Rhinolophus ferrumequinum: one gene and its partner. The protein of the gene in region 1 binds, or shares a complex with, the protein of each later gene. Links are inferred from orthologs where the notes say so. Each region holds a gene or a part of one and is shown on either strand. Other genes may lie near its edges.

Region 1 (16,250 bases):
TTTTCCTCTTATCTGGGGTGGGTCATGCCCTGTACCCCTATCCATCTTGTACTGTCCTATATAAAATCCCTTAGCACCTGCCACGTGGCTTGGAGGACACCCATGTCATCTGCAGCAAGACTCGCCTGGTATGCAAGTTCCCTTAATAAACTCGGTGTAATCATGGAACTGTTGGCCTCCTTCTAAGGTGTCTTAGCCCTAGGAAATTTTACATGACATGGAGAACTGGGAAAGTACCAGGTGTCCCACTTTTTTCACACCAAAAATCTCCCTTTTACTGTACTTTCTTCCAAGAACCCCTACAATTACTGAAAGGAGGATACAGACAACTACCCCACCCCATCTATTTCCTTCTCCTTGAGGGGTTTAACTCCCCCAGTTGGGAAACACCAACCAGACAGGCACTCTGTAGCCATGGTCACCACCCTTTCTCTTAGTGAGCAATGGTGATAGTCTGATTCATCAGAACAGCAAAAAGATAATCAAATGACACTGACATGATGTCCTCTGATTCAGCAAAGCCAGCCCACACAGAGCAGACACAGGCTCTCTGCACCGTCTCCCCGCACCTCACTGTATTAGTTCTGAGGGATCGCAAATTTTAACGAGCAGGCTAGACACCAATGTTCCTCCACACCCAATTCTGTGCCTATCTGCTTTTTTTTAGCTAGAAGGGGAGTTCCAATCTTCCCCATACTAGATGCATTTGGAACTTCCTTTCTACTTTCAAAACTTACCCAATTCTTGATAAATTCAGGAAGTTGCTTATTTCCAACTAAAACATACCTTTAATTTTTTACGGACGACCCAAAATTCTGGGCCCTGGCTGTGAGGGGGATCACGTAGGCAAGAACAGGCCTTTCTTGGGTCCCATGCCCCCTACCCTCCAGTAGCCTTCCTTACCTCTTGGGCAGGTGAGCAAAGGGGTCTTTGGCCTTCGGCTCAGCAGCCAGCGCCTGCTCACATTCGTCCATCTCCTCCTCAGGAGCGGGAGCAGCTGCCTTTTTCTCCTCTTTCCGCTCAGCCTGGGGTTTCTGCTTCTCCTCCCGAGAACCTTTCTCCTTCCGTGGGGTGTCCTTTTTAGGCTGGCTCTCTGCAAATTTTTTAGCTGGTGCAAAGGAAGGGAGACAAGTCAATGTTCTGCCTCCTTCCACATCCCTCCAAAAGCAGGCAGCAAGCAGCGTACTAGAAGAAAACTGCTGGGTACGGGGACAGCTACGGGATCTAGGCTCTCCGTTGTCACCAGCTCACTGAACATCCTAGAGCAAGAACACAACCCTCACACCACGTACAACTGCATCGTAACCTTATTAACACAAACGAGTTGAGAGTACGTGCATACAACCAGGTTCACAAAATATTTGTTACTACGTGATACCCTACATTCTGTGGGCTCACATAACCCAAAAGCCAGACAGGAAACCCAGAGTTCAGATTGAGCAAACCAGCCCCAAACACTGGCCGCATGGTCCTCTGCCTCCTCTGACTTACCATCAAACTGGGCCATCTTCTCACAGAGTTTCACCTCCCCCAAGACAGCCCGGAACTGGCGCTGGTTAATGCAGGTGAGGAACCAGCGGTTGGTATTGGGGAAGGCCTGGCGGAAAGAAGGCTCCAGGACCTGCCAGGATGGAAACAAAGCGCGTAGAGAGAAAGATCCTGAGGAGTTTCAAGCCAGAGACCAACACACCCTTGCTTCTTTCTACCCTGAGGCGCTCCTTCCTCCCCGACCCCCAGCAGCTCTCTAGGGCACCATCTTACCCTGAACGGCTGTTTCCCATTTATCTTCCTAATCCCTAGTCCAGTCCAATTTAAAGAATACTTGGTCCCATCCTCCATTTACTACAAAACTACTTAGCAGAATATTTATATGGTGCCTGACTCCTTTCACAAAGCCACTTCACACCTACAGTTTCCAATCTTTTAAATTTCACATGTTGATAAAATTAAAAAAGGGGAGAGGGGTTGGGACCAACTGAGGGCTATCAATTACTCATTGTCAAATAAACAATTAAAACAATCTACATTAACAACTTCAGAAAGTAAAGAATATTCAACAGCAAAAAGTTTTTTTCAGAATAATGGACAGTTCTTTAACAGCTTCATGAAAAACTCATTTACCACTTTTCAGTTTGCCAAGATCAGAGGCAAAATAATCTTGTGGTGGAGAGGACAGCAGCCAGTTTTGGAGTTCAAATTCTAGTCCCCCACTGCATGCCCTTGGGTAGGTGACACTTCTCCTCACCCACTCAACAGGCTAAGATGACCCGTCAGGCCCTTGGCGTAGGGTCTGGCACAGCAGGGGCTTTTTCCTTGCTATCCCCACGTCACTACTCCGGAGCAGCAGCATCTCATCAATCAGTGGTTTAGGAGGCAGCAACATGTCATCTTTGACCCAATAACCTCAGCAGGGATTACCAGTGTCCTGGTTTTACAGTTTACAGAGGGAAAAAATAGGACTAAAGGAATTCACGTACAGCCCAACCCCCATCTACAACTAGTAAGCAACAAGGCCAAGAACAGAACCTACTTGTGCCTCCAAAAGCTCTCAATGCCAAATTTACCTGTCCTCATGATCGGGCTTCCCAAGAAACGTGGGGACAAACTGAATCTCTTAGCCCTCCCCAAACAAACTAAAGGCAACAGAACATCACCACACTTCTCAGAAGGAAAGCAGTCCTGGGATTCCTAGACGGTCACCTCAGACCGCCTCACGTCCTGGTCCTCACAGCAGGACAGTCACCTGGAAGCCTTGGCACCTCAGTTCTCATCCCACCAACCTGATTCTTTATTAACTCACCTGTTTATAGAGCCACAGCAGGGTGCAGACAACTGTGATATCAGCCAGCGTCACACGTTCGCCCACCAGAAAAGTCCTCGTCTTCAAGTGAGCGTCCAGCAGCCCCAGAATTCGCCTCACCTCCTCCTTCGCATTCTCTGTGGCCTATTGATTTAAAATGACCAACTGTATCAGTGAGGACCAAACCCTTTCCCTCACCCCAAGAACAGAACTCAGGTAGCCATTTCATTTAACCCTTTCAAAGGAGTCAGATTCTAGGATTCTTCCAAACGTATCACAAATGAAGCTCCCACAAATGAAGTCACATAATAACTTCTTCTTGGTGCAGTGCTCCCTCATTCTCCACTGTAATGATCGTAGCCATGTGTCTTTGTATTTTAAAAGGAACCTTAGAGGTCATCTGGTCTAACCACTCCCCTACCATTTGGCATAACCTTCCTACAGCAGAGGTCTCTCCTCTGACCACCATTGACAGATACCAGCCCCACGGGGTCCGACAAAGACTCAGACACCATCAACAGCCCAGTTCTCCAAACTCATACCCCAAAGATTAGGTCCTTTATTTCCCACATATTCTTGGCATCTCCTTTTCTCAACCTATTTTATTCCTTACTCCCTGACACTCTGCAGCTGATATCATCCCCACTCCTGGTTTCTCCCCAAGTTCCAAGGCTTACCTGCTTGTTGTGGTGCATGATGCCCAAGGTGGGGAACACCCAGGTACTGGCTGGGGGCACTATGTCGCTATCAGCAAAGCTCACCCACTGTACCACCTGCGCTGCTGCCTCTGGAGTACGTCCCCGAAGCTCTTCATTGCTCACTGCAGAGGCAGAACACAAAGGTCAGAGCCTGGGGATCGTGCTAACAACAATCCAATCCCTAAAAAGCCCTCCCCTTGTCCATTCCAGTTCATCCTCATCCTCTCGTTCACCCCTCACTTCCAGAACCTCCATGCCCTATCTACTGCAAATTACCGTAGTAGGCAATGGCATTGCTCTCAAACACACAGAATCCATCGTCGCCTTCAAATGCTGGAACCTGGGGACAAAGCAGTCAAAAGATCAATGAAACTCACAGGAATTTCTCACTAGCCAATCCCAGGAAGTGAACTGTTTTGGATAAAAACGTTTTTATATAAGGCTGATGATCCTTTCTAACGAAACTCCTGATACTATCTGAAACTCAGGAACCAAAAATATTTGAATTAACTTGGTATCCCTTACAATCTGAAGTCACATAATAAACCCAAAAGATTTAGATATTATTGGATATTTGGATAAAAGCCTTCCATCAAACAAGCAAAAGGTCAGAAGCCAAGTCTTATATCTACATCTATAATACTCAAAATATTATGGTGCTCCCCACACTGCACTTGAGCTTCTACTCTCAGCCTGGTTATTTCCGTAAGACCCGCGGGGCAAGGATTCTGTTCATAGTTGATACTTGACATATTTGCACTGAAATCAGTCAAAACTCATTCTCTCTCCCACAAATACAAAGTATGCCTGTAATTTTTTTAAAATGTCATTGAATATCTCTTTAGTATCTTCACTAATGGGAATCTGCAATTACCTCAAAAAAAAATTTTTTTTTTTAAATCACTATAATGTGGAAAAAAATGGAAAGTTCCCTTTTAAAGATGGAGGCCATCTCAAAGTGATAGAATCTTATAGCCACTTGGGTTCTCAGGACCAAAGACCCCTCCTCCCACTCCCCTACTCACCTTGCCAGCTGGAAATTTACGGAGAAATTCAGGGGTGCGGTTGGTTTGACCAAAGTGGAAGTGGGGTGGTGCGGAGAGCACGCGGACCTGAGCCCCGCTGTACTGAGCGGCAATGAGGGCTTTGAAGGCCCTCCAGTTTTCAGGGTATGTGTACAGCGTCTGTGCAAGAAAGGGGGGGGAATGTCAGTGTGAGTAGAAGGGTCCCAAGTCCTACATGTCACCTCTGGGATGACTTTCCTGAACAATCCCAATCTCTTCAACTCACTCTTTCACTCCGGCTGGTGAACCAAGTTCTTCAGAATCTGCCATGTGTAATCAGAGTCCTCCAAAACACGGAGAACAGAACTACACACCAACTGCTAAATAAAGCTTGTTGACAGATTTGACCTTCCCTAAGGACATCTGTAGAAGCATTCTCTTCCCCTCAAATAATATCTCCAAGAAATCCAGAACTTCCAGCTCCCTCAGACTCCAGCTGCGACATACACCCCTGCCTTTCCAGAGCCCTTGTTTCATTCATTGATGGTTACCCAGTGCCTGTCTATTGCTGAGCGGCTCACCGCTTCACAAGCATCGTCCTTGTCTCTAAGACACACACACACGCACCAAGACATTTCCAAGTTCCCCTCCGAAGAGACACAGGGACACAGGGACGAATGGCATCTTCTCTCCCTAAAAAACCTTTCTTCCCTTGTCACGCATTTCATTCCTCCGGTCCTGTCCGGCAGTGAGTTCCCTGGTGTTGCCTACCTGGCCGGCGGGGTCCAACTGGTCTGACTCTACAGTCCCGAGAGACCTCTCCCTCCCAAACCTCCCTGATGGACGGCCCTTAGACCGTGGCCAGCCGTACCTGCCCACAAAGACCCTCCTCTTCACCGTCTCTGCTGTTGCCCCACAAAACGGTCGCAAAAGTTCTGTCAACCTGCCCGGATCCCATGTCTCAAGGTGGCAATGAACCTGAACCCCTTTCTCTGGCCCCAGACGGCCAGGATCCGACATCTCTTTTCTCCTATAACCCAGACCCTTCCACCTCTTTGGCCTCCGACAGTCCCAGCCTCAGTTCCCCTCCGGGGCCTGGAAGCCCTGCTCTCCAACAGTAAGATCTCTAGACCCCGAATCAGTTCCCCACTCGGCTCCAGAACTCCTCTGACGCCGGCTGGTCCCACTCGGGGAGAGGATGGCGTCGGATATAGTGACCTGTATGGCCTGAGCCGGCAAACTTACCCCAGCCGCCATGGTGATTCCGCAGAGAAAGGGGGTGGGGCTCTCAGTGCTGCCGCAAAGTAAGCCGTGAGGGAAAGAAGGGAGGGGGGCGGGAGAGCGCCGTGGAGAAATAGCAGCCGGAAAGCGAGGACGGCACAGAAGGCATACGCACGACAGTTCGGGGTACCACGGCAGCTGAATTGGAAAGGGGGTGGGGCCTGCGGACTGGCGCGGAAAACGCTCGCGCCTGCGCAGTGGCTCACGTGACTGGCCCGCCCCTCAGGTATGGCCAATCCGAGTCCCAACGTGTAGAGAGGCGCGGAGAAACTGAGAGAACTAGCTGGACCGCTTCCCCTAGGCAGCTACGTGGCACAGCTGCCATCCCTGCGCCGCGCTGGGTGCCGCAGGCATCCCCCTCCGGCCCGCAGTATAAGTGAGGCCCAAGATGAGAGGCTTGATGGGAGGTCCTGCGAAGCCCCGAACATCGTGACTGTGCGACACGCCACGGTGTGGAGATGGCGGTGTGCCAAATTCCTTTTGACCTGCTCTGGTTTTCTAGATAAGATGAATGTCTAATCGGAGCCTAAGTCTGAAACCCTCTGTTATAATAAATTTAGTTTTTCTCCCATTAAACCACCTTGCATCTCCAGGATGCTGTTATTTCCAGAAGGGCACTAGTCTGTGGGCCTGCAACAGGGGGGAGGCTAAGGGACAACAGCCATATCCCTTCCACCTCCTGTCACTCTGGAGGGATTGACAATTTAAGACAAACTGATACAGGTTGCCATTTACCCATGTTCAGCTTTGAAAATCTTTTACCCAGTTTTAGAAGGGGATGAATTCTGTTAAGTGACGGAATGCGTGAAGAACCCTGAACTCAAATTTCAGGCCCTGTCACCATTCATAAATCTCGGCAGCAAGGTAAAGGAAGAGGCAAACTTGGTTCTTCTCACAGGTACTGTTCAATACCTCTACTCAGCACTCCATCACTCCCGAACTCTCCCAAGTGGGCTCCAGGTGCCAGACACACCGTCCTGGGCACTCCCCGCAAGTTGTGATAAATGGTAAGAAGGAAACAGGCTGAGACCTGTTTTGGAGTGGCCAGAGACGACACCTCTGAGAAGGCTGCATTAAGGTCTGGGGAGGGGAAGTACGAGGCGGAAGGAGCATTGTTACCAGGTGGAAATTAGAGGAAACTGTAGTGTTTATTAAACTAGCAGCTTAATTGCCCTTTAGGGCCCCTGTCTTGACTCTAGAAGATTTCGAAGTGCTTGAGGAAGGAAAACCTGTAAGAAATGATGGAGATCAGGAAACAGGCCTTGGGAATCCTGAAGTGGGGTCACAGTGAGAGTCTGGTCAGCCTGGGAAGCAGACGCCACAAAGGTCAGGAGCGGCTCAGTCTCTGGCCTCTGTTCAGCACTGCTCGGTCCTCTCAGTTCCTGGGTTACCCGAGCCTCAGTCGCCAGCCACTCTACTCCCGTGCCAGCACCACCTCTGCCTCCTTCCTTGGTTTGCTGCTGCAGGCGTCTCCGGGCACGCCGCCGCCCCTGCCACACTCGGTGCCACAAGGCACAGCGCCAGCTCACGGAGGAGAGTGATGCCCCCTTCCCTGTCTCACCCTGGGACCCTTCTCGGGCTGCGTCTGGTCCTTTGGGGCCCTGCTCAGCCAGCGCTGCATGGCCTGACTGCTCCTGTCCTCCAGTGGCAAGGTGCTTTCCAGCCATCAGGGAAGGCTCCCCTGGCTGCCCAGGGCTCTGCATGGCCCAGTCCTCCACTGACTCTCCACTCTCTATAACCATTTCTTCCACCCCATCTTCGCCATGCTCCCCCATACATCCCTGCTGCTCCTCCTGCCTCTCCTCACAGCTTGTTTTCTGTCTGTCTAGTTTCAGTCTTTTGCTTGACCCTCCCTGGGGAGAATCTCCATTTCTACCTCCCTCTGACCGCAGTCTCTTGGTTCCCTGTTCTATATGGCAACCCAATGCTTCTCTGAACACCTGGACCAGGCCAGCAGTGAGCTGGGTAAAGGGAACAGGGGGTAAGGGGATGGGTGTTGCAGACAGCAGAGAACTAGGGGAGCTCGGCTGCAGAAGGGGGAGCAGCCCCCAGTCCCGACCCCGGGAGGAACGGTGCTGGTACTGGAGGCTTCTGCAGTAATTGGCTGCTACTCGGCAGCAGTTCTGTAACCGCCCGGCTACCCGGCTGGTTACATTGGCTGCCACATTGTGACTCAGGTCAAAGGGGTCCTGGAGATTCATGGGGCCGAGGCGCAGACCCTCCCAGAGATTAGAGGGCAGGCCCCCTGCCACAGGCAGTGCCCGACCCTCCCGCAGGGAGAGCAGTGAGCCACGAAGATCCCAACAAGAGACGCAGGAGAAGAACTGGGCTAGTAGGGAACCTGGAGGAGAAGACCAGGAAAAGGGGTTACTGAGAGGCCAGAACTGAGACAGACCCTGAACCAGAGCCATTCCCTTAGCAGGACTTTCGTTTTCCCTTCTAAGTGGCTCAGAACAGTGCCAGAAGCCAGGCTCCTCTGATCCCCATAAACATGAGGCCACGCTCTCTTCCTGTGTCCCCAGCAATGTCATTTCCCAGACGCTACTCCTTCCCTTTGCTAGCAGTGTAACCTTGGGTAAGCCACTTAATTACTCTAAGGCATGGTTTCTTCACATGTGAAATGGCAATAACAACACTAGCTGTCCCCCAAGGCTACTATGAGAACCATGCCTGGTACACAATAACTGTGTTACCTCCTGTTGTGATCAACATTATTTATTAGTCCTCTGTGGGCTCCCCAAACTCACTCAGGGGCTCCTGATTGGTGCTGGGCTCCAGTCTCGAGGCATCCCTGGGGAAACTGCAGTCCCAGCCATCAACCTCCACCTGTTCACCCTCACCTGTGAAAGTGAAAAAGGTGAGGGTCAGCCTGGAAGCAGGAAGATTGAGGGAAAGGAGGGTGAGGGATGGAAATGAGGGAGATAGCGGAGATCTCATTCCCAGGGTAACTCAGTGTGAGTAAGACGAAGAAGAGAAGAGATGAAACTAATGAGATAGAGAGGGTGGAGGCCGGCTGCTGTACCTGCTTTCTGGGTGAGTTGGGACACAGTGGGCAACACAGGAGGGTCCCTGGTCTGAAGGAAATAGATCACGAGCAAGGTCAGGGCGTAGTTATTGAGAAGGGGGCCACTCCCTGGGTAAATAATCAATAATTCCAGTTAGATTAGAGGTGCTTCCGATCCCTTCCTTGGCAGTTTTTCTCAATCCTGGTTCCTGTATTTGCCTCCCTTCTTTGCCCGACACCAACTCAGCCCCAGCTCTCTCCTGCCTCTCACCTGCTAGCCCTCGACCCTGAGCCCAGCAGCGGAGGGTGTACACGAGGGGCCGTACTCGCTCATCCAGCTCAGAGCAGAGACTCAGGAAGCGGGAGTTATGCAGGGCCAGCCTGGGACAAAGAGGAGACGAGGACGTTACGGCTCAGGAACGCTCTGAACCGATCACCCCCAGCTCCCAGTCCAGACTGTAACGGCGGCCAGAGAGGGTTTCCTAAGTGTTTGCTGACACAGTGGTCTTGTGAGAGGCTGTACAAAGAACACGACATCCTATATGCCCGTCTCGGACATTCAGAGCGTGTTATTGTTAATAAAAGCCTGCTCAGGCCTTTACTATGCAAAGAAACAAAGACAAGAAGGGAGGGAGAAGGGGAGAAAAGGAGAAAGAGAGGAAAAAAGGAAATGAGAAAGAGGAAGTGGGGCAGAAGGAGAGAAGGAAGAAACCTATTTGTGTTTAACTTAGTATTTCCCAAACTTACTTAACCATGGAACTCTTTTCTAAATCCCTTAAAAACAGTATCCTAAAAAAGATACTTTCCATTGACATGGAAGACAGGCAGGAGATGAGTGGCAGAAAGAGGGATGGGTCCAAACAAGGATAAGCTTGAGGCGTGGCATGTGCAGGAGCTCCCCCACCAGGGCTCCCTCCTCAGCCACCCCAGAACGCTCAGCTTGCCTTCCCCAACCACCCCCCTAAACAACGGTACCGGTTACTGAGGGAGATGTCACCGTGGAGACCTGAAGGCCGATGGCAGAACTTGACCACAGGGCATCGGGCAGAGGGCACAGTTTGGACTCGGTACACTCCAGGGACACAGCCACGAAGGATGGATCCTACCAACTCCAGCATGGCTCCCTGCTCTGTTTTCTCCCCCTTCAGAGCCTCTGCTAGCTCCAGAGCCTTCCCCAGGTCCCCCTCTCCCCGGTCCTCCTGCAGTGGTGAGGCTGGAGGCAGGGACTGGGGAGAAGCAAGGGTCTCAGAGGCCAAAGCTGAGTCCGGAGTGTGGGGCGCCTGGGAGGAGGAAGGGATTTCAAAGTCCAGGGCTTCTGAGTCTTGAGGAGAATCTGGAGGGTGAGAGTCTGGAGGGGAGGCTGGGGTGCAGGCTTGAGGGTCCAGTGGGGATGCAAGGGCTGAGTCCAAGGATGGGGACTCTGGAGCCTTTGGGGCTGGCTGTGGATGGAAAAGAACTGAGTGAATGCCTCTCCTGCTGCCCCCTAACTGGGAACAGTCTCGTCCCCAAGACATACCCATGACCTACTACTTATTATGTGCCAGGCCCTATTCTAAGGGCTTTACACATGTTAACTCATTTAATCCTCACAATATTTTTTTTTCAATTAGAAATACCTTTTTAAAGCCATAAAATAAGCAGTCTGTATTCTATAAAAATGTCATTGTCATGAAAGACAAAAAAAGGTGGAGGAACTATTTTAGATGAAAGAAAACTAAAGAGACAACACAATAGTCTACTGTCAGGGCAGCTGACAAAATTGGAGTACAGACTGGATTAAAGTCTTGCAATGCTTTACACTTCTACCAGTGTAACATTTCCTCGACTTGATAATGGTACTGTGGTAACCGACTAGAATATTACCTTGGTTCTTAGGTAATACACACTGGGATATAAAGGGTAAAGGCGTGACGTATGCAACCTACTCTCAAATGATTCAGGAAATATAAATTGTGTGTGTGTGTGTGTGTGTGTGTGTGTAGAGAGACAGAAAGAGAGAATGATAAAAGAAGTATTATTTTAAAAGTAACCCTTTCTGTGAGGCAGGAGTCATATGGGAACTTTATACTTTCTACTCAATTTTGCTGTGAACCTAAAACTCTAAAAAATAAAATCTTTTTTTTAAAAAAAATAACCCTTTTGTATTCCAAAAGCAGGATCTGTACGTTAGATGTTAGAAAACACATACGCAAAAACATAACCCCTAAATTACATTATTGTATGTCTTGTTATATATATATTTTTTTATCCAAAATAAGATATTATCCATGCCATTCTGAAATCTGGTTTTTTTCCTGTTGCAAATGCCATCTATCTCGTGCCAATTCCTTTCCGTCCTACCTTACACACATCCACATTCACATCTCTCCAATTACAATAACGCTTTCAGGCCGGTCCTATTATCCCCATTTAACAGGTGAGAGGGAAGGTGCTCACCTAGAGTCACATGACCATTCCTACTGACTGTTCCCAGCTGCTCCCTCTTCACTCACCTGGAGCTCTTCCAAGTCACCCAGATCCAGGAAGAGGTCAAGATCACAGCCATGGACGTCAAAGCTGTTTATGGAAGAGCCAAAAGGACGGATCACACAGCCTGGGTGCCGAGCAGAGAATAAAGGTCAGGAGACATTGGGGGGCTAAGGGGTGGAAGAACATAACAGGGCACAAAGATGAAAGAGCAATCAAATAAACACCTCTAGCTGAGGGAGGACTGGGGATGCAGACGGGGCAGGGCAGGACAGGGTGGGCTCAGTCACAGTGAGGAAGGTGGCTCACCGGGAAAGAACTCTGTGAAGACCTCCTGCATCAGGGCCAGCACGAGGCTCCGAAGCTGCCGCTCAGCCTCAGACAGCTCCCTCAGCCCCACCAGCTTCACCATTTGTGCTCCCACATCTGGGGCCTCAGCTAGTGCTGTGGCCAGCTGGTGACTGTCGAGGGCCGCTCCTTTGGGGGATTTGGAGGCTGGGCTCTGGAACTCTTTCTGCTCCCGTGGTCGGACGCGCAGGCGATGTCCTCCCAGGCTGTGCTGAGGCTGTGACAGGACAGCTTCCCGGGCACCCACGTCTCCCATCTCCACGATGGCAAACACTCCCTGGCAAACCACAACGGGCAGAGATGATGGTTTTGCAACCGAGAATCCAAACACATGGTCTGACAGTGGGCGAGAATTCTGAAAGGGGGACTACTGTATAAATTGGGAACATTCGCTTGCTGTTTCTGTAACAACAGGGAACATATTTAGAAAAGCAATTATTTTCCTCACTCGCATCCCACACACACTACTCTCACCCCAGTCGGCCTCCGAAAATCACATTTTACCTATTTTGTTGTCCGCTATTCTTCCCAATGACACGACGTTACTGGTTATACCCATCCCCTAACTTTTCCTGCTTTAGACTCTTTTAAAATTTATTAAGAATCCATGTAATGAACACTGTGCTTGGTGTAAATATAAACACATAAACCCTACCTCAACAAACGTACCACCTAGGAACAACAGCAAAATGATAACCATGCTGCTAAGACAGGGCTGAGGTCAACGATATCCAATGGAATAAACATATATATATATATATATATATATATATATATGCATGTAAGTGTATATATATACATACATATATGTATATATCTTTTTTTTTTTTGAAAGCTAAACTGTTAGCAGGAGTAGGAAAACTATGACTGCTTTAGGGCCAAAACCTACATCTTCTGTATTCTCTTCAGTGGCAAAGCTAGAGCCTCCTCCTGCTTATAAAAAGGTACCTTTTACAGTAATCAAGACAGTGTGATACTAGCATAAAGACAGACATGCTGATGGAGGAAATGTAATTGAGACTCCAGAAATAAACCCATGTGTCTATGGTCACCTGATTGTCAACAAGGGTGCAGAGACCATTTAATGATGAAAGAATAGTCTTCTCAACACATGGTGCTGGGACAAGTGGATAGCCACATGCAAAACACTGATGGTGGACCCCTACCTCACACCATACACAACAATTAACCGGGGGACAGCCTCACCAGCACACAGGCCTGAATCACGGATGGGGAATGACTGATAATGGACATGCAGTTTCTTTGTGGGGTGATGAAAACACTCTAGAAGTAGACAGTAGAAACAGTTGCAGAGCCTTGTTAATACAATAATTGCCCGAGATTTCACTTTCCGAGGTTTCAGTTACCTGCAGTCTGAACATACTAAATGGAAAATTCAAGAAATAAACAATTTATAAGTTTTCAATTTCATGCCATTCTGAGTAGCATGATGAAATCTCATTCTGTGCCACCTGCCTCACTCTGTCCCACCCATGATGTAAATCCTCCCTTTGTCCACACAGCCACACTGTATATGCTACCTTCCTGTTAGTCACTTAGTAACCATCTCAAGTTATCAGACTCGTGGTTATCAGTGCTTGTGTTCAAGTAACCCTTATTCTACTTAATAATGCCATATTGATATAACTTTTATTACAGTATACAGAGGGTACCAAAAAAATGTATACACATTTTTAAAAAGGCAAAAACTGTATTAAAATTACACTGATGGAGTCGGCCTGGTAGCTCAGGCGGTTGGAGCTCCGTGCTCCTAACTCCGAAGGCTGCCGGTTCGATTCCCAAATGGGCCAGTGGGCTCTCAACCACAAGGTTGCCAGTTCGATTCCTCGACTCCCACAAGGGATGGTGGACAGCGCTCCCTGCAACTAAGATTGAACACAGCACCTTGAGCTGAGCTCCCGGATGGCTCAGTTGGTTGGAGCGCGTCCTCTCAACCACAGGTTGCTGGTTCGACTCCCGCAAGGGATGGTGGGCTGCGTCCCTTGCAACTAGCAATGGCAACTGGACCTACAGCTGAGCTGCGCCCTCCACAACTAAGACTGAAATGACAACAACTTGAAGTTGAACGGCACCCTACAGAGCTAAGAATGAAAGGACAACAACTTGACTTGGAAAAAAGTCCTGGAAGTACACACTGTTCCCCAATAAAGTCCTGTTCCCCTTCCCCAATAAAATCTTTTAAAAAAGAAAAAAAATTACACTGATAGTAACCACTTTGAGCACCTCTTGTAATTGCAGAAGTCAAACATGACTTGTATTCATCTTTTGTTATCAGTATATATTATTACAATTTTAATATAGTTTTTTCCTCTCTTAAAATGTTTTTCCTTTCTTAAAACATTTTTTTGGCACCCTCTGTATTATAACTGTTCTATTTTATTATTAATCACTGTTGTTAATCTCTTAATGTGCCTAATTTGTAAATTAAACTTTATCACAGGTATGTATGTCCAGGAAAGACATAGTATAGTTGACCCTTGAGCAATGCGGGTTTTAAATAAGGAGGTCCACTTACACACGGGTTTTTTTCAATTGACCTGCGCAGTACAAATGACCATCGCAGTTCAAACCCATGCTGTTCAAGGGTCAACTGTATATACAGGGTTTGGTACTATCTGCCGTTTCAAGCATCCACTGGGGGTCTTGGAACATTACCCCCACAGATAAGGGGAGAATACTGTACATGAACAACCACTGAATTGTATACTTTAAAAGAGTGAATTTTATGCTGCCTAAGTCATATCTCAAATGAAAATAAAAGCAGGGGGGAGTGCCCTTCCTACCCTCACTTCCACCATTATGCCAAAGACAGCAAAGAACCAAAGTGAAACCAAGGCGAAAAGCAGCCACTTGGACCTGCCCAGACTAATTTTCTGACTCTGAGAAATCACACGGCTCACCACACTGTGGTTCAACAGCAAGTTTGCGGCCAAAGCCCCACCTAGAAACCACATGTCTCTTAGCCTGTCCTTGTCTTTGTGCACGTATTTCCTTCCCTCGAGAGCCCCATAGAAGGCGTCAGGAGTGGCAGAATTAGCAGATTCAGAAGCCTGTGTCCTAGCTATTTTTCTCCTCTCAATACCAGCATCCCCAGCTACAGCTACCACTTCCCAAGGGCTTATTTTAAACCAAGTAGTTCACATAAACAATTGCTAAGTCTCGTAAGACTCCTATAAGACATGTATTATTGTTCCCATTTTACAAATTAACAAACTAAAACTCAGAGAAGAAATTTGTGACTGCCTCCCAAGCAGGGGCTCAAACCCCAAATATCCAAGTTCCCAGTGATGCTCTCCCTCAAGGAAATGTTGTGGGGATTAAATGAGATATTGTACATAAAATAGCATGGGGCTGGCCCAGTGGCTCAGGTGGTTGCAGCGCAGTGCTCCTAACGAGGTCGCCAGTTTGATTCCCACATGGGCCAGTGAGCTGCACCATCTACAGCTAAGACTGTGAACAACGGCTCTCCCTGGAGCTGGGCTGCCCTGAGCCAGTGTGGGCTGCCGTGGACTGCCGCGGGCTGCTGTGCTGCTGTGCTGCTGTGTGCTGCCAGGAGCGGCCGGCGGCCAGCTTGAGTGGCCGGCAGCCAGTGTGAGCAGCTGGCAGCCTGCTGTGATCAGCTGACCGACGACCGGCAACCGACTGCCTCAGCCGGGGGGAGCGCAAGGTTCATAACACCAGCATGGGGCAGGGAGCTGTGTCTTACACAACTAGACTGAGAAACAACAGCTTGAAGGGGGGGTGGGAGAAGGAGGCAGAAGAAGGGGGGGAAAAAAGTTAGCACATAACTGTACATAATAACTGCTCAATAAAAATTTTAGTAATTATTGTTATAATAATTAGAAGCCTCGGAAACTTGAGGTTTAAATTCAGGAAAAGATCATGCTTTCTAATTGAAATAAATATGAACAAAAATGAGGACATTGAGCTTTCTAAAGAAGTAACCTGGGGCAGACACTGTCAGCTGCCCACTCCATATACATTGTCCCTTTCTTCCTTACTGACAGAATCCTGATTTTGTTCAGAAGGGCAAAGTGCCCAGCTAAAATAATTTTATTTCCCCAGGCTTGCCTGTAATTAGGTGCAATCATGTGTTCGAGTTCTGGCCAATGAGAAATCTACTGAAGAGGTCTCTGGAAAAGGTTATTTTTCTGGGAAATAAAGAAAACGGGGGTGGGACGGTGGTCAGACTCAGCTGGCACTAGCCTTTCACACTCTGCCCTTCAACCTGCCCCTTCTTCTTGGATGAAGAGATGGAAACAGCATTATCACATCTATGAAGTTAAGAGCCACATACTAATAATAACAGAGCAGGAAAAACAGCAAAACCCTGGACTGCCCAGGTCTGGACTTCTTGTTATAAGAGAACAATTGAACCGCTTTTGTTTAAACCATCATGGGTTAATGAAATCCCTGAGAGAAACAGACCCCTCCCCATTCTAAAAGAAGGCTTGGAATGCTAAGGAGATTTGGGATCACCGAAGCCATGCCTACACAATCAGACTGCAGCCTCATAACAACAATATGGTCACAGAACACAATACTGCAGCAGTGAACTTTTTTCAAGGACTAAAGAGAAAATGACTAAAGGTCTGCATGGAAACAAGACAAAAAGGACCACAAAGAAC
Region 2 (15,985 bases), on another chromosome or scaffold:
AGCCAAGTAACAATACAGTACCTGGCTTTCTTAGATTTCTCTGAGTTTGTCAGGATATTCCAACCTTTCATTACTGGCATAGCACAAGCAGCTACAACCTGGAATTTCAATGAAAAAAATCTGTTTAAGAATTTGTATTTGTTTGTAATTATAATTAACCTGATTTATAAAAACATTAAATTATACATTTGAAAACAAGCAAAGAAAGGAATATTCTTGAAGGCAGAATTTTTATAGTTTTCATATTCATAATATGATAATCTGACACTTTACATTTCTCTTAGAAATAAGTAAGACATCCTACTTCTTAATTTTTTATGAGGCTCTGCAACAGAACATCAAATAACTGTGTTTTGATTAGTAGGCACTACTCAATTAAAATGGTATAAGCCAAAATAAAATTAAACTTCTTCCCTGCAACCCTCTCCTCTAGTGAAAATGGCCCAGCATGAGCACTTCCAATGGGCTGCTGGCCAACCCCACATCCTAGCTGTGTGTCATGCAGCCATTTGGAAATATGAACAGCTGTAAGAAGTCACCTTTAATTTTTAAATCTGTTACAATTATACAGCCCTTGTGTTTACAAAGCACTTTCATCAATGTGTTTCCAGCTTTGAAATGACAAGAATCAACCACACAAAAAAATAAACTTATAGATAGAAATAAACAGGGCTAGTTTCTCCACTATAATTATATTGATTCTAAATAAAGTTTGCTGCAAGATTTCAAGTTTTCTACCTTCTACAGCATGGTGTGGAATTTTAGGTATCAAGTACCTTAGGAGCTTTCTCAATTTCAACAAGGCACATCCTGCAGTTTCCAGCAACAGACAACCTTTCATGGTAACAGAATCGAGGGATCTGCATGCCAACCTTCTCACAAGCCTAGAAGACAAAGGAGAAAACTTTTGCCATTAGAATAAACTGACCTCATCCTTGTCTTGTCTAAAACATACACACACACAAAATGAGGCCACCCCCTACCTATCTTATTAATCCTATTTATAAATATCTGTATCTTCATTCTTACTTCATCCCTGAAGAGAGTTTCCTCCTTTGCTCTTGATTCCAACCCATCTGCTTTGAAGCTTCCTCTTTAAGGATCCTCAGCATGCCTACACCTCATGTGGAAGAAACTGGATAAAGTATCCTCAGGTATGCTAAAAGCTTGACTCCCATTTCCACTCTGCACCACTGTTCACAAAGATTCTCCCTTCAAACTCCATGCCAATGCTTTCACACCTGGACTTCTTTGTCTAGTTCTCCTCTTTCGGATTAGACTCCATTTCATACTGTCTAGCGGACTATGATCTGGTTCTATCTTTGGCTCCATACACCCACCCAGGATTCATACTCCCACTGTGGCTCCTCCCAGTTCCCATCTGCCTAGTAAGGGGGACTATTGGTCTTGCTCTACCAATTACTACTCCTCCTTCTCTGAGCCTATAAACGTATTCGAATTTCCTCTAGTTAGTTCTTTCATCCTTAGCCCTCACTCTAAAGCAATCTCATCAATGTCCAATGTTTTAACTACCTAGCAAAAATGTATCGAGTCTTCCTGTATGCTAGATGCAGTGGATATAGTAGACAGATATTGTCCCAGCTTTCATACTAGCTCATATTTCATATTACATCTAAACCTTCATCTGCACCCAGATAGTCCTCCACTTCTCCAAGGTTTAGACTTAAATAGGCATTTGCTCGTGTATGTTCCATAGTTAAAATTCAACCTATTTCTGTCCCCTACTACCGTATATATCCCCCAAATAAGCTAACAAGGCCAGAAACTACAAAAATCCGCCTGCCCTTCATCATTCCTAAAAGCCTATCTACATCTCACTCTCCTTTGAATCTACCCTCAATTTCATTCCCACAGCCACCATCTATTTTAGGCCTCTTCCTTTCCTGCTCCACTGATGCAAGATACTCTTTCCTTATCTCTCATTCCAGTCTTGTTATTCTCCAAACCATCGCCCTGCTGTCACTGTCATACTGCTAACAGCCACGAAAACTCTTAATGGATCAAACTACAAGCTCTTTAGTATGGCATATATCTTCTTGCATGATTGGTCCTCACCTTCCAGAATAACTTTTCTGTTGTATCATCTTCTACATACCTTATGTTCCATCAATACCAAACTATTTGAAGCTTCCTTGTCTACTTATAAACATCTATTGATCCTTTAAAATCTCAGGCATCACATGAGACGTCCCTAACTTCTCTTTCTACCACCTTCTATACCTGCCAAAATATTCTGCACTGTACTTTGAATACACTTTTATCATATATTTATTGTTTACAGGTCTGTGCCTGGCAGATAGTATAGAAATGGAGGCTAAAATGAATAAAGAGCATTTAGCTCTGTGATAACTGGCAGATGGTATGAAGCATCACTTCCTCATGACCAACTTTGTTAGTTCTGGAGGAATTTGGATAAATTAAAAATTTAGGGCATAAACTCAAGAACACACTACCCTTCATTCACCTGCTTTGTAGGATATATTCCTAGAAATATTACTGAAAATAGAAAGATTACATAAAAGTGAAAAGCATCAAACAGGCTCACAACAAACAAAGGTTACTTTCTCCCAAACTTACATACAGTAACTAATAATTTATTTTAGGTAACTTCTAATTTCTTAATGAGTTATGTTTGGAAAGCAGAAGTGAAACAAAAGAATTGCCATATTTCACTAAGAAAGTCAGAAACAGATAAATGACAGCTAACTTCAAAATGCGAAGATTTCAAGTCAAACTTATTTTCATATACTTTTACTACTATAGTTCTTTTATGAGCATTTATTAAGGAATCTTGAAAATTTTAGAAGTAAACAGTATAAAGGAAATAAACTGGTATTCTTTCAATAGCAGAATATATACAGAAATAAAGAATTAGAATGTATGCCTACTTGGAGGACGGTAGTTCCCGGTTCCACCATGACAGATTGACCATCAACAAATACTTCAATCAAGTTGCTTGCTGCTGTGGCAGTTGTTCGAACTGAGCATCAAAAATATTGAGGTGAAAAATAAATTAACAGAGTTGAATTTACTACAGCAGAGGATAATGGATTAACTTATAAGCCTAAAAATTTTCCTCATTTTATACCATTTCCCTCTACTTCCTTCGACTCAAATTGTTAAAATATTGAATTAGAAAAAAGCTTTTTCAATCCTGAATACCAAACAGAATGTAGCAGTCTACTTTTAATAGGAGTTTAAGTTGAAACTTAATACCACTGAAAATGTGTTCATGGGAAGACCACTTTTCAAAAGTAGTCTTTTTCTATTTTGGCAAAAATAGATGGGCAGTTCCCATTACTTTCTATTCCATGATAATTTCTATAACTGGTTAAGGTAAAGTTGTATTTTGAAAATTATTCCATTTGACTTGGGTCATTTGTTTCTATTTTATTGAAAACAAATTAAGAGTTTAGAGTCTTTCAAGAAATCTTCCATAGACCTATGAATTTACAAAGATATAGTACCCACAAATGTAAATTTAAAAACTACTCACCACATCCTTTTGGAGACTTAGAAAGGCCTACTAAGGCCCTTCTTACAGGTATCCTTAACATATTGCTAAGAATAAAACAAAGAAGAGTTATATTATTGTAGGAAGAAAACCATATTTACAAACTTTTTGGTATATTTCATCGTTTTAAAAGTACTCCACATACATCATTCCATTGAACATTCTACAAGTCCTGATATTTTCCCTCAAATCCTACAGAAGAAATACTCAGTCTCAGGGAGATCAGTGACTTGTACAATGTCAAGGAGCTAAGAAGGAGCAGCTATTGTGTACCGTATTTTGCCGTGTATAATGTGCACTTTTTTGCCCAATTTGTGAGGGAAAATAAGGATGCGCATTATACATGGGTAGTACTAATTCTATTTCCCTGAAAATTTGAGCCAAAAACGTGGGAGCACATATACATGGGAGCACATTACACAGCAAAATACGGTAAATTTGGGCCTTCTAATTCTACATAAATGGCAGTTTTTTTAACTATCAACAAATGATCAAACATAAAACATAAAACACTACTATATAGTACAATAAATTTCAAAAATAAGTTAGCTTATCATTAACAGATGTAAAATAAAGCCTACCTCTCTGCCTTCATTTCTTACCAATGCCTTCTAACATTCTGTTTTGAACAGTTATCTACTAAATGCTCCTGAGATATTCTGAGCTCTCTCACAAGCCCCAACCCTGGAGTGTCATTTTCAGTGCTGAGTAGTTACATTTATCTTACACATTTGCAACTACCTGTTTATATGCCTGTTTTACTCCCACTGTATTATGAACTTCTTGAATCTATCTTCAGTGCCTACACCCAAGGCTGGCACACAGTAAGCTCTAAAATAGTGGTTCTCAACCAGGGACAATTTTGCTTTCTTGGAAACATTTGCCAATTTCTGGACATACTTCTTGTTACAACTGGAGGAAAGCTACTAGTGTCTAGTGGGCAGAGGCCTGGGTGCTGCTAAACATCCTACAATGCATAGGCCAGTCCCCCATAATAAAGAATTATCAAAAGTGTCAACGGTGCTGGAAGTTGAGAAACCCTGCTCTAAAAGGTTTGCTGAATAATCAATGAAAAACATGGGAGTGGAGTATATAAACAACACCGATTAAAGATATATACATAAGCAAACAGAAAGAAAAGTTATCTAAACTTTCAGTTTTTTGTCCATTCATTTGATCATATGGGCTAAGATCTAAATTATAATTTTTGGAACTTTTAAAAATGCATTTGGAACTTTTAAAAATGCAAAGTTATGTGATCAGAATGTATCAACATAAAGAATTTCAAAGGTAAGAGGGGAAAATAATACATATACATGTTTTAAGCATAAAGTTTCATATACCTATTATAAATGATGTGTATTTTATGAATTCAGATTTCAATAATTCATAAAATTCATTAATTTTGAATTTGTGATATTGAATTTGCAGACATCAGGTCTGTCACCTCCTAGTGAGTGATTTTTAGTAAATAACAGTTTCTGCTTCTTTATCTATAAAGCAGGAAGAAAGCAATACTTCCTAGGCTATGTGTTGTTATTAGTAGGAGCTTAATAAATGTCAGTTGAAGCTGAACTCAATTTGGGCAGCATTAGCCACTTAAGATCAGCTTTAAGATGCTCTTCCTTTGTGCTCCTTCTCATTACTACCTGCACACACTGTGTATATATCTTCATTACTCCACCTGGTAAACTGTTAGTAATCAATCTTAGTACCTACTAAACTGTAAGCTCCTTGACAAGGACTAATGCACTTTGGTCATTTCCCTTTTCTGAAGACCTAGCACCACATATGCCTTTGGGAAAATAATCATCAAACAGTCTTATCACCAATTTCCAGGATGAGTCACATCAGTCCTATTAAAATTTATTGATATAAAAGTCAACCTGAATTTACTGAATTAATGACAGATTCAAAATCATGCAATATTTCATACAACGTAAAAACGTCAATAATATTATTCGTCGCAATACAATTTAAAGTAGTGCCCACTTTAGTTAGGAAATCAACCAGAACTAGGCTATCTGTTGAAAATCCATCATCAGGCGCAGCCCCGCACGAACGGGACTCAGGAAGGCGGGTACTATGGAACCACCGGCAAAGATCTTCAAAGGAGTTTTAGTAGCTGAATTTGTGGGCATTTTTTGGAGCATATGGTTTGTTCAATAAGATGAACACAATGAGCACGAAATTTCTTTACCTTGGAAGTTTATTACAAATCCACTGAATATTCTAGAATGTATGGAATCAGAGAGAAAGATCTAGAAAAATAGTTGAACAGCAGAAGTTAGGAATTTGCCCACTGATCAAGGTTTGCCATATTTGACAGTACCAGGCAAGATCGAAATTCCAAAGTTGACGTGAATAGATTTGGGATACCCATCAATATTCCTCAGTGTAAAAATCGGGGCAAAATGTAAACTCTTAATTAAGTCAGAGGTTCTGTTCTTTGGACTGTGAAGAAATTCATGGAAGGTATGTTTATGGTTAAAATAAAGTTTTGTTTGTGTACACTACTCAAAGTGGTTCTCCTAAAAAAGCAAATCCAGCATTAAAGAAATACTGCGTAGCCCCCACGTTAAGAAACACATATTTGCAAAACTCTGATGGTATGTGCTTCACACATACTAAGCCACCATGTGGGAACCACACTTTGTGGTACAGGGACAGTATCACTCCACCTCCTCCACATGTACCCTGCACCCTTCTGTCCCGCCAAGGCACTCACTTCCAAGGCACCATCATCTCTTGCCTGAACTGTCACACTGGTCTCCTAGCAGGTCTCTGGCTTCCACACTATTCTCACAGCCTCTCCCTTCTTTCCACCAGGTGTGGCCTCAGACTGAAATGCTCCTCCCTCACATCTTTCTGGCTCCTCCTCATCCTTCCAATTTTGGCTCGGGGAGACTTTGCTTCACTAGCCTACCTAAAATTTCCTAACTACTCCCCGGTCCCATCACCCATTTAATTCTTCTTCATGGACTCTGTTCTAGCTCAGAGGAGACGTTCAATAACTATCTGTGAAATGAATTCTATCTCCAATGTTCGAAAATAACCTAACTTCTACTTTCCTGAGATTAAAACAGTGCAGGTCCTCTGGCAGCCTCCTAATAGTACCCTGCTTAAGGGTGCACACACAATTTGGTGGGGGAAAAGGACATTCCGCAATTAAAAAAAAAAACCAACCTCGTTTATTCATGCCAACAGTTCACGTTACATTTTATATACCCTCAGTACACTTTTGAGGAGAGTTGTGTCTGATGCACGTTACAATACTGTACATGCACTAGATCCCAAGAACTTTTAGGCGTAGCTTTGTTATTCGTAGTGCGACCTTAGGCTACATTTTAAAATGTCTTTTCCTTCTGTTTCCCCACCAGTGAAAGGAATAAAAAGTGCTACGCAACGCTGTCAATGGACAAAACAAAGAAACAAAAACACCAATCAGAGGCGTGGACGGTTGCTAAGGCAATAGCAGCCAAACAATGATGCACTGTGCCGGGTATGCGCTAATTTGGGGGGAAATAGTCTTTGGGCCTAAGTCACTTGACATAGGTCGTCTCCCAAGGAACAAAACGGCCTCCTCTCCAGAAACGGGAATGTCCTGCATTTCCTTTGCAGAGGGAAGGTCACCCACAAGCCCGCACTGGGGCCAGCGCTCCTCAGGGCTTCCTCCTCCTGTCTGCTCCAGCAGACCAGAAACCATGGCTAACAGGCCTCACCGGCCGGTTCTCGGGGGTTCCTGGGCAAGCCGGGTGGGAAGCGGCGCCCAGTCAAGGACAAGAGGAGAATGAGTCTCCTGGGCAAAAGTAAACACTCTTGTCAAGAAATAAACTGCTGTGGCCAAAGAACCTCAGCCTTTTCACCCAAACACAACCTCACCTTCTCCCTGGAGCCGCCGAGGCTGCTGTGCAGAACAGTCAGCACCACACCGACCCCCTTAGAAGCCGGGACTCTTACTCAATATGGCGGCCTCGGCTCACTCCGTCACCCCGGCCTGGTGAACGGAAAGCCAGGAGGGACTAGTAACCTCGGATTCGACCATTTCCTCCCCCGATTGAGTTCGGCAATTTCCGTCAGTTCCACAGAAGGCGGGGCTGAGGGCGTAGCAGCCGGGAGGAGGCGGAGATTCGTGGAGAAGGGACGACCTGGACCAGCAGTTCCGCCGGAAGTGTCCGGGAGGCGAAGGCCGATCTACTTCGGTCATCTCCGGATCTTCAAGGGGCGGTTCCGGTAATTTTCGGAAGCCGTGGAGGTACTTCTGTAAGAAATGCCCCTTTTATTATTGTTTTTTTAAACACAGAGAAAAGCCTAGGGATAATTTGTGGGCCCGTTTAATTCAGAGACCCGATTTTTATGTTGAGGAAGGAGATTGATGTACTTTGACCTTTAACCTTCGGCCGGGTGCGACAGAGGGAAACGCCTCCGTCTCTATATAAGGAATTTTCCGGCGTTTTGCGGCCTTTTTTTTCCCCTCAGTGCTCGGCGTCCACCGCTTGAGCTTCTATTTCACCCGCTGCCGCCCAGCTTCAGGGTCAGCCGACGTCATGGGTTTTGGAGACCTGAAAAGCCCTGCCGGACTCCAGGTGCTCAACGACTACCTGGCGGACAAGAGCTACATCGAGGGGTGAGCGCGCAGTGTCGGGCTGGGGTCGGCGGGGTGCCGGCGATACCACGTGGCGCGGCCTCCGCCGCCGCTGGAGAGAGGAAGCCGGGCTCCAGGCCCCTCCTAGTGGAGGGGGCCGCGAAGTGAAAAGGAGCAAAAATGTGCTTTCTTGCTCATTACTTAATTGAACCAGGTTCTTCCTGGTCTTTACTCAGTTAATGAACGTAATCCTGTGTATCTACGTTAGAGATGGCAATCTTTGAGGTCTACTAAGGAACAGGCATTTCTCAGCTAGAACAGATGGTCCCTGATCTTAAAACAAAACTAAAGCAGCCTAGGTAGCCCGGTAACAAATGGGTGAGATCTCACTAAGTAATTTGACGTAGCTTTTGTTACTTATTGGATGGTGTGTTGTGGTTTTTTAAAGGCGCGTGTACTTTTTTTTTTTTTTGGGTATCAATTGCAGGTATGTGCCATCCCAAGCAGACGTGGCAGTGTTTGAAGCAGTCTCCGGCCCACCACCTGCCAACTTATATCATGCCCTGCGTTGGTATAATCACATCAAGTCTTTTGAAAAGGAAAAGGCCAGGTAAAACTACCTTTGTAGTTATCTGAAGAATAGAATGCTGTCTAAGCTTTAAGTCAGGGCTTTCCCATGAGAGAATTAGACCCAGGCGGCATGAGCTTTGTTGGGATACTGGGAGATAAATTTCTGTCTGACTTTAGAAGGCCAAGAGACTGAAGTCCTCCATTTTTTCACAGAACAGGTAGAACATGGACAACAGCAATTCAGCCTTTCCCCACCCTGCCCTGCCAATGTGCCTGTTCCTGACCTGGGGGGCCCACCTCTGGGGTGAGAGGGTGGCTCAGTCATTCAGTTCTTGGCCATTCTTCTGAAACTGCCAACAAGGGTGGAAGTTTGGGGAGTGGACTGCAGTTCACTAAGAATGGAATTGAGCATACTTAATGAGATCTCAAATATTCATTCTGAAAGAGTAAATCATAGTGAGTATTGAATACAGTGTCACATACTACTACTATTTCTGGGGTAAGGAGTGAAAACATAAAAGTGCTTATCTGGGAGTGTTAAAGGGGGTCTGCTGATAAATAGTGATGAAAATAAGTTCTCACATTGTCTGAAAAAGGACACTGTACCAGCCTAATAGTTAAATTTAAACTTTCTTTCAAGCCTGCCTGGAGTGAAGAAAGCTTTGGGCAAGTATGGTCCCGCTAATGTGGAAGACACCACAGGAAGTGGAGCTACAGATAATAAAGACGATGATGACATTGATCTCTTTGGATCTGATGATGAGGAGGTATGTAATAAGCGTATTGTGCTAGGGCACCAACTAGAGTCAGATTACCTGGAGTTGAATCCTGGCTTTATTTCCTACCTGTAAATATTCTCACTGGTTACATGATGAGTAAAATCAAATCACCATCTTTCGGCTGAGCTCGTGATGGATTTGCTTTTTTCTGATAAAGCTGGTCTTTGTTGTGATGACCCTATGATCTTTAAGCTGAGGAGCAACCAGCTTTGTGAAATGTATTAAATTGTGTCTTTATAGGAAAGCGAAGAAGCGAAGAGGCTAAGAGAAGAGCGCCTTGCACAGTATGAGTCAAAGAAAGCCAAAAGTACGTCTTTTTATGATTTGTGTTTATTTTCATTTCATAATGTGAGTAAATCTTTTTCAAAGAATGATCCCCGAAGTGACTTCTTCACGTTCACTGACTGGGTCATGATTTCAAAACCTATAAAAGTTGTTCTTATAACTTCCACAGCTACTGGTCTGCAGCTGTTTTTAATGGTGGCAGTTGTGGCATTCCTCTGTGGGAAAGAAACTGTTACACAACTAAACACCTCTTTCTTAGCAAAACAGAAAGTGGGCATGTGTGTGACAAACAAGATGTATCCCATAATTTCGTGTGGCTAAGGAGATAATCCATTTTGAAACAAATTAATATTGAGTATTTGAATAATGCTGTGACTTGTACTTTTTTAGAACCTGCACTTGTTGCCAAGTCTTCCATCTTATTAGATGTCAAACCTTGGGATGACGAGACAGATATGGCAAAATTAGAGGAGTGCGTCAGGAGCATTCAAGCAGACGGCTTGGTCTGGGGCTCTTGTGAGTTCAGTCTTTGCTTTTTTGAAATTGGCATCTGGAATTTGCATAGTTGCAACCTTTGCCAATCAATAGGATTTTTCTAACTAACATTTTTCTTAATGTTCTTCTCAGCTAAACTAGTTCCTGTGGGGTATGGAATTAAAAAACTTCAAATACAGTGTGTAGTAGAAGACGATAAAGTTGGAACAGACATGCTGGAGGAGCAGATCACTGCTTTTGAGGACTATGTGCAGTCCATGGACGTGGCTGCTTTCAACAAGATCTAAAATCCATCACGGATCATTACCCTTAAATAAAAACTTGAACGACAACCCTTGGCTCTTCAGTCTTTTAATGGGAAGGTGGTACAGCTGGCCCTTGAACAACATGGGGGATAAGGGGGCTCAACCCTCCCACATAGTCAGAAATCCACACTTAACTGATTTCCCAAAAATAAGTCTAGGTATCCACAGGAGAGGGGTCCTAGTACTCCATGGATGCTCAAGTTCCTTATGTAAAATGGCATGAAACAATGCGTGCATCGAGCCCTCTACATCCACAGATGCAAAACCTGAGGATACAGAGGGCCAGCTATACATTTTTAAAAACCTGCGTATAAGTGGACCCACACAGTTCAGACCTATGTTCAAGGGTCAACTATATTCCTTTGATTTTGAGAAATTCAGTGAATACGTAATTCGTAATATAAATTTGGGTCAGCATTCTTGTTACACAGCCAAAAAAAAGGGAAAACTTAACAAAAACTATAGATCTCAAGTAGATTTTATAAATGAATAGAAATGGACTTTGGTATAATTCTTGTACGCATTCCTCAGGAATGTATGATGATACCACTTTTACCACAATATGTTAAATTTTCATATTTGCCTTGTTTTTAAATCAAGGAGCTAAACTTGGGCAGATTTTGGATGAAGAAATTAGCCCTACAGGTTTATAATGGTTCAGACCTTGGGCTTTGCAAGGAAGTAACAGTGAACTGATTTTCTTCAGTGGGAATGTTGGAGTACCGTAAAGAATCATGAGTACCTCTTTGAGCACCTCTTGTAATTGCAGAAGTCAAATGTGACTTGGATTCATCTTTTGTTATCGGTATATATTGAGTATTACAACTTTTATGCAGTTTTTTCCTTAAAATGTATACATTCTTTTTGGCACCCTCTGTATTTACCTTTGCAGAGATTCATCCCATCCCATTTCAGTGTCCAGCTGTCCTGGGAGTGAGCTTGTCACTGCAATTGTCTTAAAGGCTGAAGGCTTTCTTTCCAGCATTGTGCCTCTGTGTAGGGAAGGGAGAAATAACCTGTTTCCCATAATCTGTGAATACTTACATATACTTATAAATCAAGTATTTTGAGTTAACTTATAACTTGAATTTCTCTCTGTAAAAAGATAACCTGTTTCTTGTCCTTTTTCTATATTTTATTTTCCCAGTCTAGAGTTTTCCATTTATGTCTGTTGCAGAGGAAAACTTTTCCTCTACCCTGTTAGATTCTGTACTTGGGGAGTGCAAATTAAATGGACGAGATTAGCAATAGAAAAGTCACATTTAATCATTTACGTAGGAGAGTTCACAGAAAAATGTGACTAAGATGAGGTTAGATTTTGGGGAGTACGTACTACCTTAATAATGGAAGGGGAGGACAACAGGGCACTTAGAGGAAAACGAAATGGCTTTTTGGAAAGAGTGAATGGTCCTTTAGGAGAAACGATAGGTGATAATACTTTTGTGATAATGTCTATTTAGGAGTGTGTGATGTGGAGACTTAATTTCCAGTGATAAAAGATTAAGAATCAACCTCTGATTGCTCCTGGGGAGGGGATTTATGACAATTGAGTTATTTTGAGTTCCTTTAGGAGGCAGCTTTTATGCAGGTAAGAAAATTCTGGAACTCAAATGCCTTCTGCTCAAAATAATTTGTATGCCATAGTAGCATATTCTGGACCCCTTCACTTCTCTAGATTTCATGAAAAAAAAGAAAAAACAAGTCAATACAGTGCTTAGGATGATGCCAAGCACATACTGAATAATATCAATGACAGTATTTGCTGGATAAACCCAATATTTGGAGATAAAAGGAATTAAAGTCTGCAAATGTTAAAATAATGCCTTACTGTATGTAGGCTGTTAAAGGAGAACATTAGGAATGTGTTTTGAGTAGCATTGTGTCCTGAAAAGAAGATTACAGAGGTAATTGACTCCCAGGCTGTGTGGTTCACAAGCCTAACTTGGGTGTAGAGGTGGGTGGACGTAGGTGAGACATTGTACACTTTAGGAAATCTGATTGAACCTATCGCGAAGACGGTAGGAGGATTTCAATACCGAGGTAGTGCTACAGGTAAATGTACTCAAGTGAAGGCAGTATGTTAAGTGATAAGTCCTGTTAACAGTTGCATATTAATTTGGGATATACATGTAACATTTGATTTTTTTTAACAGTTTTTATAAAAGCCTGGAAATTGCTGACCTCTAAAGGTCTTATTTTGTAGTCTGTAGACCAGAGGTTAAATGATTTGAGGTCAAAATTTTCCTAGCAGAACCAGACTGTTCTTTTTTTTTCTCTCTCAATCTGATTTTCTTTATATGTGACTACCTTGAATGTGGGATATTGCTTAAATTATAAAGAAAAATTATTTAATCCGGTATGTATGTACTGATGAATAAAATCATCCTCGCTAAACAATTCAGTCCAACAGACCCCATTAAAAAAAAAAATCACTGGAGAAATTTTCAGGTTGTCATCATAAAAGCCAGCAGAGGGCAGCACTTCATTTTCTGGAGAACCAGAGAGCCTGTGGATTCTGGAAATGCTGCTAAGGAAAAAGAAGTAACTAGTGTGAATAGTAGCCCAAAATAATTCACAATCATTGACATGTTAAAGGGACTGCATACTAAACCATTTGACCAAAATGTTAACTATTAACAAATATTAATGACAAAGTAATGATTAAAAATTTACTTAAAAGAGTTGAAATACTGGAATAGTCAGTTCAAACCACAACTGTCTTATAAATCTTAAAAAGATAAATGATGAAACATGACTTTAAAAATCTTGACTCCACGGCCTTGAATAAAAAATAGATTTAATGGTATCTTAATTTTATATTTTAAAAAATAGATATTAACATAGTTCAAAATTCAAGAGGTTATACAGCGAAATCTTCTCCTGTCCCCCAGACCTCTTGTTCACCTCCATAAAAGCAACCAATATCATCAGATTCTTAGGTCTTTTCAGAGCTAGTCTAAGCATGTGCACAGACTAACTGCAGCATGCAACACAAACTGGGCACCTTGCATTTTGTTCATAGAAATGGACTTGGATATCTTGAAGATGATCTATATCTTGGAGGTTCCATATCAGTACATTAAAAAAAACTTTCTCTTTTAGCAGTTACATACCCCATTGTCTCATATCTTATTTAACCAGGCTATTGGATCTTTAGGTTGCTTTCAATTTTTTTGCTATTATGAGCAGTACTCATATCTGCGTGTGAGCCAGTATACTGAATGAACTGCTTTTGAGCCAGCAGACTAGGAAGGCATAGGTATACATAGAGAAAGACATTTTTTCCCCCCATTTCTGGCTTTGGAGTGGAAAACAAATTAAGAAGCCACCTCCTTTTGCAGGCCCCCTAAATGATTACAATTACTGAAACCTTGTTTTATTTTTCATATTCAGCATCCCCAGCAAAGGGCAGAGCACAGTGTGGGAATTCAAAATGATTCATTTTGTATCACTATGTTAGATGCTATAAAAATAGAGTTATGAAAATTACTATAGGGAGGTGGTTCAAACACACAAAACTGTGAAGTATGAGTCATTTTGTGATTGAGCAAGTAATCCAAATGTTCAGCGGGTCGGGAAGGCTAGAATTGAAGAAACATTTTTGAGAGAAATCGGGGCTTAAGCTGGATGGACCTTGATCAGTTTGTTTAAAAAAAAAATGTTCCAGAGAGAGAATGTTCCAGGAGGGTGTTAAAGGCAGAATGATAAAGGCAAGAATGAGAATAGACATTTGGGAGGCAATTCAACCAGTTTGGCTGGATTCTGCAGTGTCTGTGATTTTGTAGGATGGGGCCAGGGTGAATTTATAGGCTGGCTTGTTCTGTGAGGGCAGTATGGAGCCAGCCTTGATGGTTTCCAAGCCAGAGAATGACAAGATAAAGGCAGAGCTCTGATCTGGAGACGGTGTGGTTGGAAGCAGGTAAATAAAACGATTTATAATCCTAACATAAATGGGAATGACTAAATTATGGCATATACACTCAATGAATATTTTATAAGCTTAATATAATCACTTTAAAAAATAATGGAAACTGTAGCAACATTGAACAATGCTTGATGTTTTCATTGACTACTATCAAAAGATAAGCTTATAAACAAAGACAAAAATACAAAAAGTTGTATTAGTGTTTCGGAACATATGTATAATTTTTTTCCCAAACAAATATAATTTGGCAATGGCAATTATTGCCCTTAGGATAAAAAAAGTAAATAAAAAAAATACATACCTCACATACATTGTCTAATTTAAACTCCATTGTAAGTCTAGGAGATAAGGCAGACACTGTTATCACCATTTTTAGATGAGGCAACCCTGAAAGATGACATGCCCGAGTGTTCACCTAGTGAGATAGGAGGAACTCAAACCCAGGTGTTCGTGGGCCAGATGATGTGTTGGTAATAGAATGGGGAAAGTTCTTCATCCCTGAATTTAGTCCTATTTCATCAGTGTAACCCTGGCTTCATAGTTTCAGTTAGGGAGAGTGAGCAGATAATATCACATAAGGGTAAACTTAAAATGGAAATTTGAGACTGAGAAACAGACATTCACTCATGACATACTCTCTCTATGATGATATTAGTTGTGTTCAGGAAATGTGCCAAATGAGAGTGTTGTTTGGAATGTCATTGACCTGAATAGCTTTCAGGAAAGTAAAATCAAAGGAAAGTTTCCATAGACTTCCGAATACTCATCCCCTAAAGAACTACCATCCGTCCGTATGGAAGAATAGTGAAGAACTATGGATAACTCTTCAAGCCCGGCACACACTGAATCTTCTGTCCTCACTTTGTCCTTATAAAATGTGATTATTCTCTTTTCTGAGCACAGCCCATGTTTTCCAACCTCTGTACATTCGCTCTTGTTGCACCATCTACCCAAAGCAGCCTCTTTCCTCGCCTGCACTTTGTTAAAGTTGTAGTCCTTCTTCAAGATGCACTTCACACACCTCTTTCAGGAAGTCTTTTATTCTACTCCTTCCTGTCCCTTGCAGGCTCCCAGCACATAACACTCTTATAGCACTTACAAACTATCTTGCTTTAAGTTCTCTGTGTAGTTCCCTTACGCTTCCTATGAAATTTTTATGTTCATTTGAGGAGGAAGGGCTTTAACATTTACTAAGCAGTTGCTATGTCAGAACGTGCCAGGAGTTTCGTTAAGTATAACACCAGCTAATTTTGATCAGGTATTTATGTATAGGGCTAAGCACTGCTTTAAGTGCCTTAGGTAAAGCCCTATGAATACCTGCATCAACTTGTTTAATTTTCACAACAGCCCCATGTGGCAGGTGCTACTATTGTGGATTATCCCCATTTTGCAGATGGGGAAAACTGAGGTCTTGACATTTGAATTAATTTAGCCAAGGTCACAGAGCTACGATGTGTTGGAGCCATAATTTAAATCCAGGTATACCGCCTCCAGAGGCCCTGGGTC

The links.
Region 2: the proteins of EEF1G (region 1) and EEF1B2 are in contact, whole or in part, in a crystal structure (PDB 5DQS), measured with the Homo sapiens proteins. The link is inferred for Rhinolophus ferrumequinum from reciprocal best matches to the Homo sapiens genes EEF1G and EEF1B2. Residues at the interface, in NP_001395.1 of Homo sapiens: Leu146, Lys147, Thr148, Arg149, Thr150, Phe151, Glu155, Arg156, Pro185, Asn186, Arg189, Leu192, Thr193, Asn196, Gln197, Pro198; in NP_001032752.1 of Homo sapiens: Ala20, Asp21, Lys22, Ser23, Tyr24, Tyr28, Val29, Cys50, His51, Arg54, Asn57, His58, Ser61, Tyr62, Glu65.

The regions. Positions count from the first base shown.
Region 1 is NC_046294.1:8,191,580-8,207,829, reverse strand, and holds the start of EEF1G (elongation factor 1-gamma), read right to left. Parts: upstream 5,903-16,250; 5' UTR 5,760-5,902; coding exon 5,748-5,759; intron 4,683-5,747; coding exon 4,524-4,682; intron 3,839-4,523; coding exon 3,775-3,838; intron 3,621-3,774; coding exon 3,478-3,620; intron 2,945-3,477; coding exon 2,801-2,944; intron 1,622-2,800; coding exon 1,492-1,621; intron 1,109-1,491; coding exon 904-1,108; intron 1-903. Other genes in the region: TUT1 (speckle targeted PIP5K1A-regulated poly(A) polymerase), read right to left, coding at 6,959-8,124, 8,531-8,623, 8,806-8,916, 9,059-9,168, 9,763-10,226, 11,280-11,380, 11,563-11,878. UniProt on the Homo sapiens protein: Probably plays a role in anchoring the complex to other cellular components.
Region 2 is NC_046291.1:26,177,188-26,193,172, reverse strand, and holds EEF1B2 (elongation factor 1-beta), read left to right. Parts: upstream 1-7,777; 5' UTR 7,778-7,798; intron 7,799-8,014; 5' UTR 8,015-8,082; coding exon 8,083-8,162; intron 8,163-8,607; coding exon 8,608-8,730; intron 8,731-9,330; coding exon 9,331-9,457; intron 9,458-9,550; exon of another isoform or gene 9,551-9,629; intron 9,630-9,709; coding exon 9,710-9,776; intron 9,777-9,915; exon of another isoform or gene 9,916-10,049; intron 10,050-10,144; coding exon 10,145-10,270; intron 10,271-10,381; coding exon 10,382-10,536; 3' UTR 10,537-10,581; downstream 10,582-15,985. Other genes in the region: NDUFS1 (NADH-ubiquinone oxidoreductase 75 kDa subunit, mitochondrial), read right to left, coding at 22-98, 777-884, 2,910-3,001, 3,518-3,578. UniProt on the Homo sapiens protein: Catalytic subunit of the guanine nucleotide exchange factor (GEF) (eEF1B subcomplex) of the eukaryotic elongation factor 1 complex (eEF1).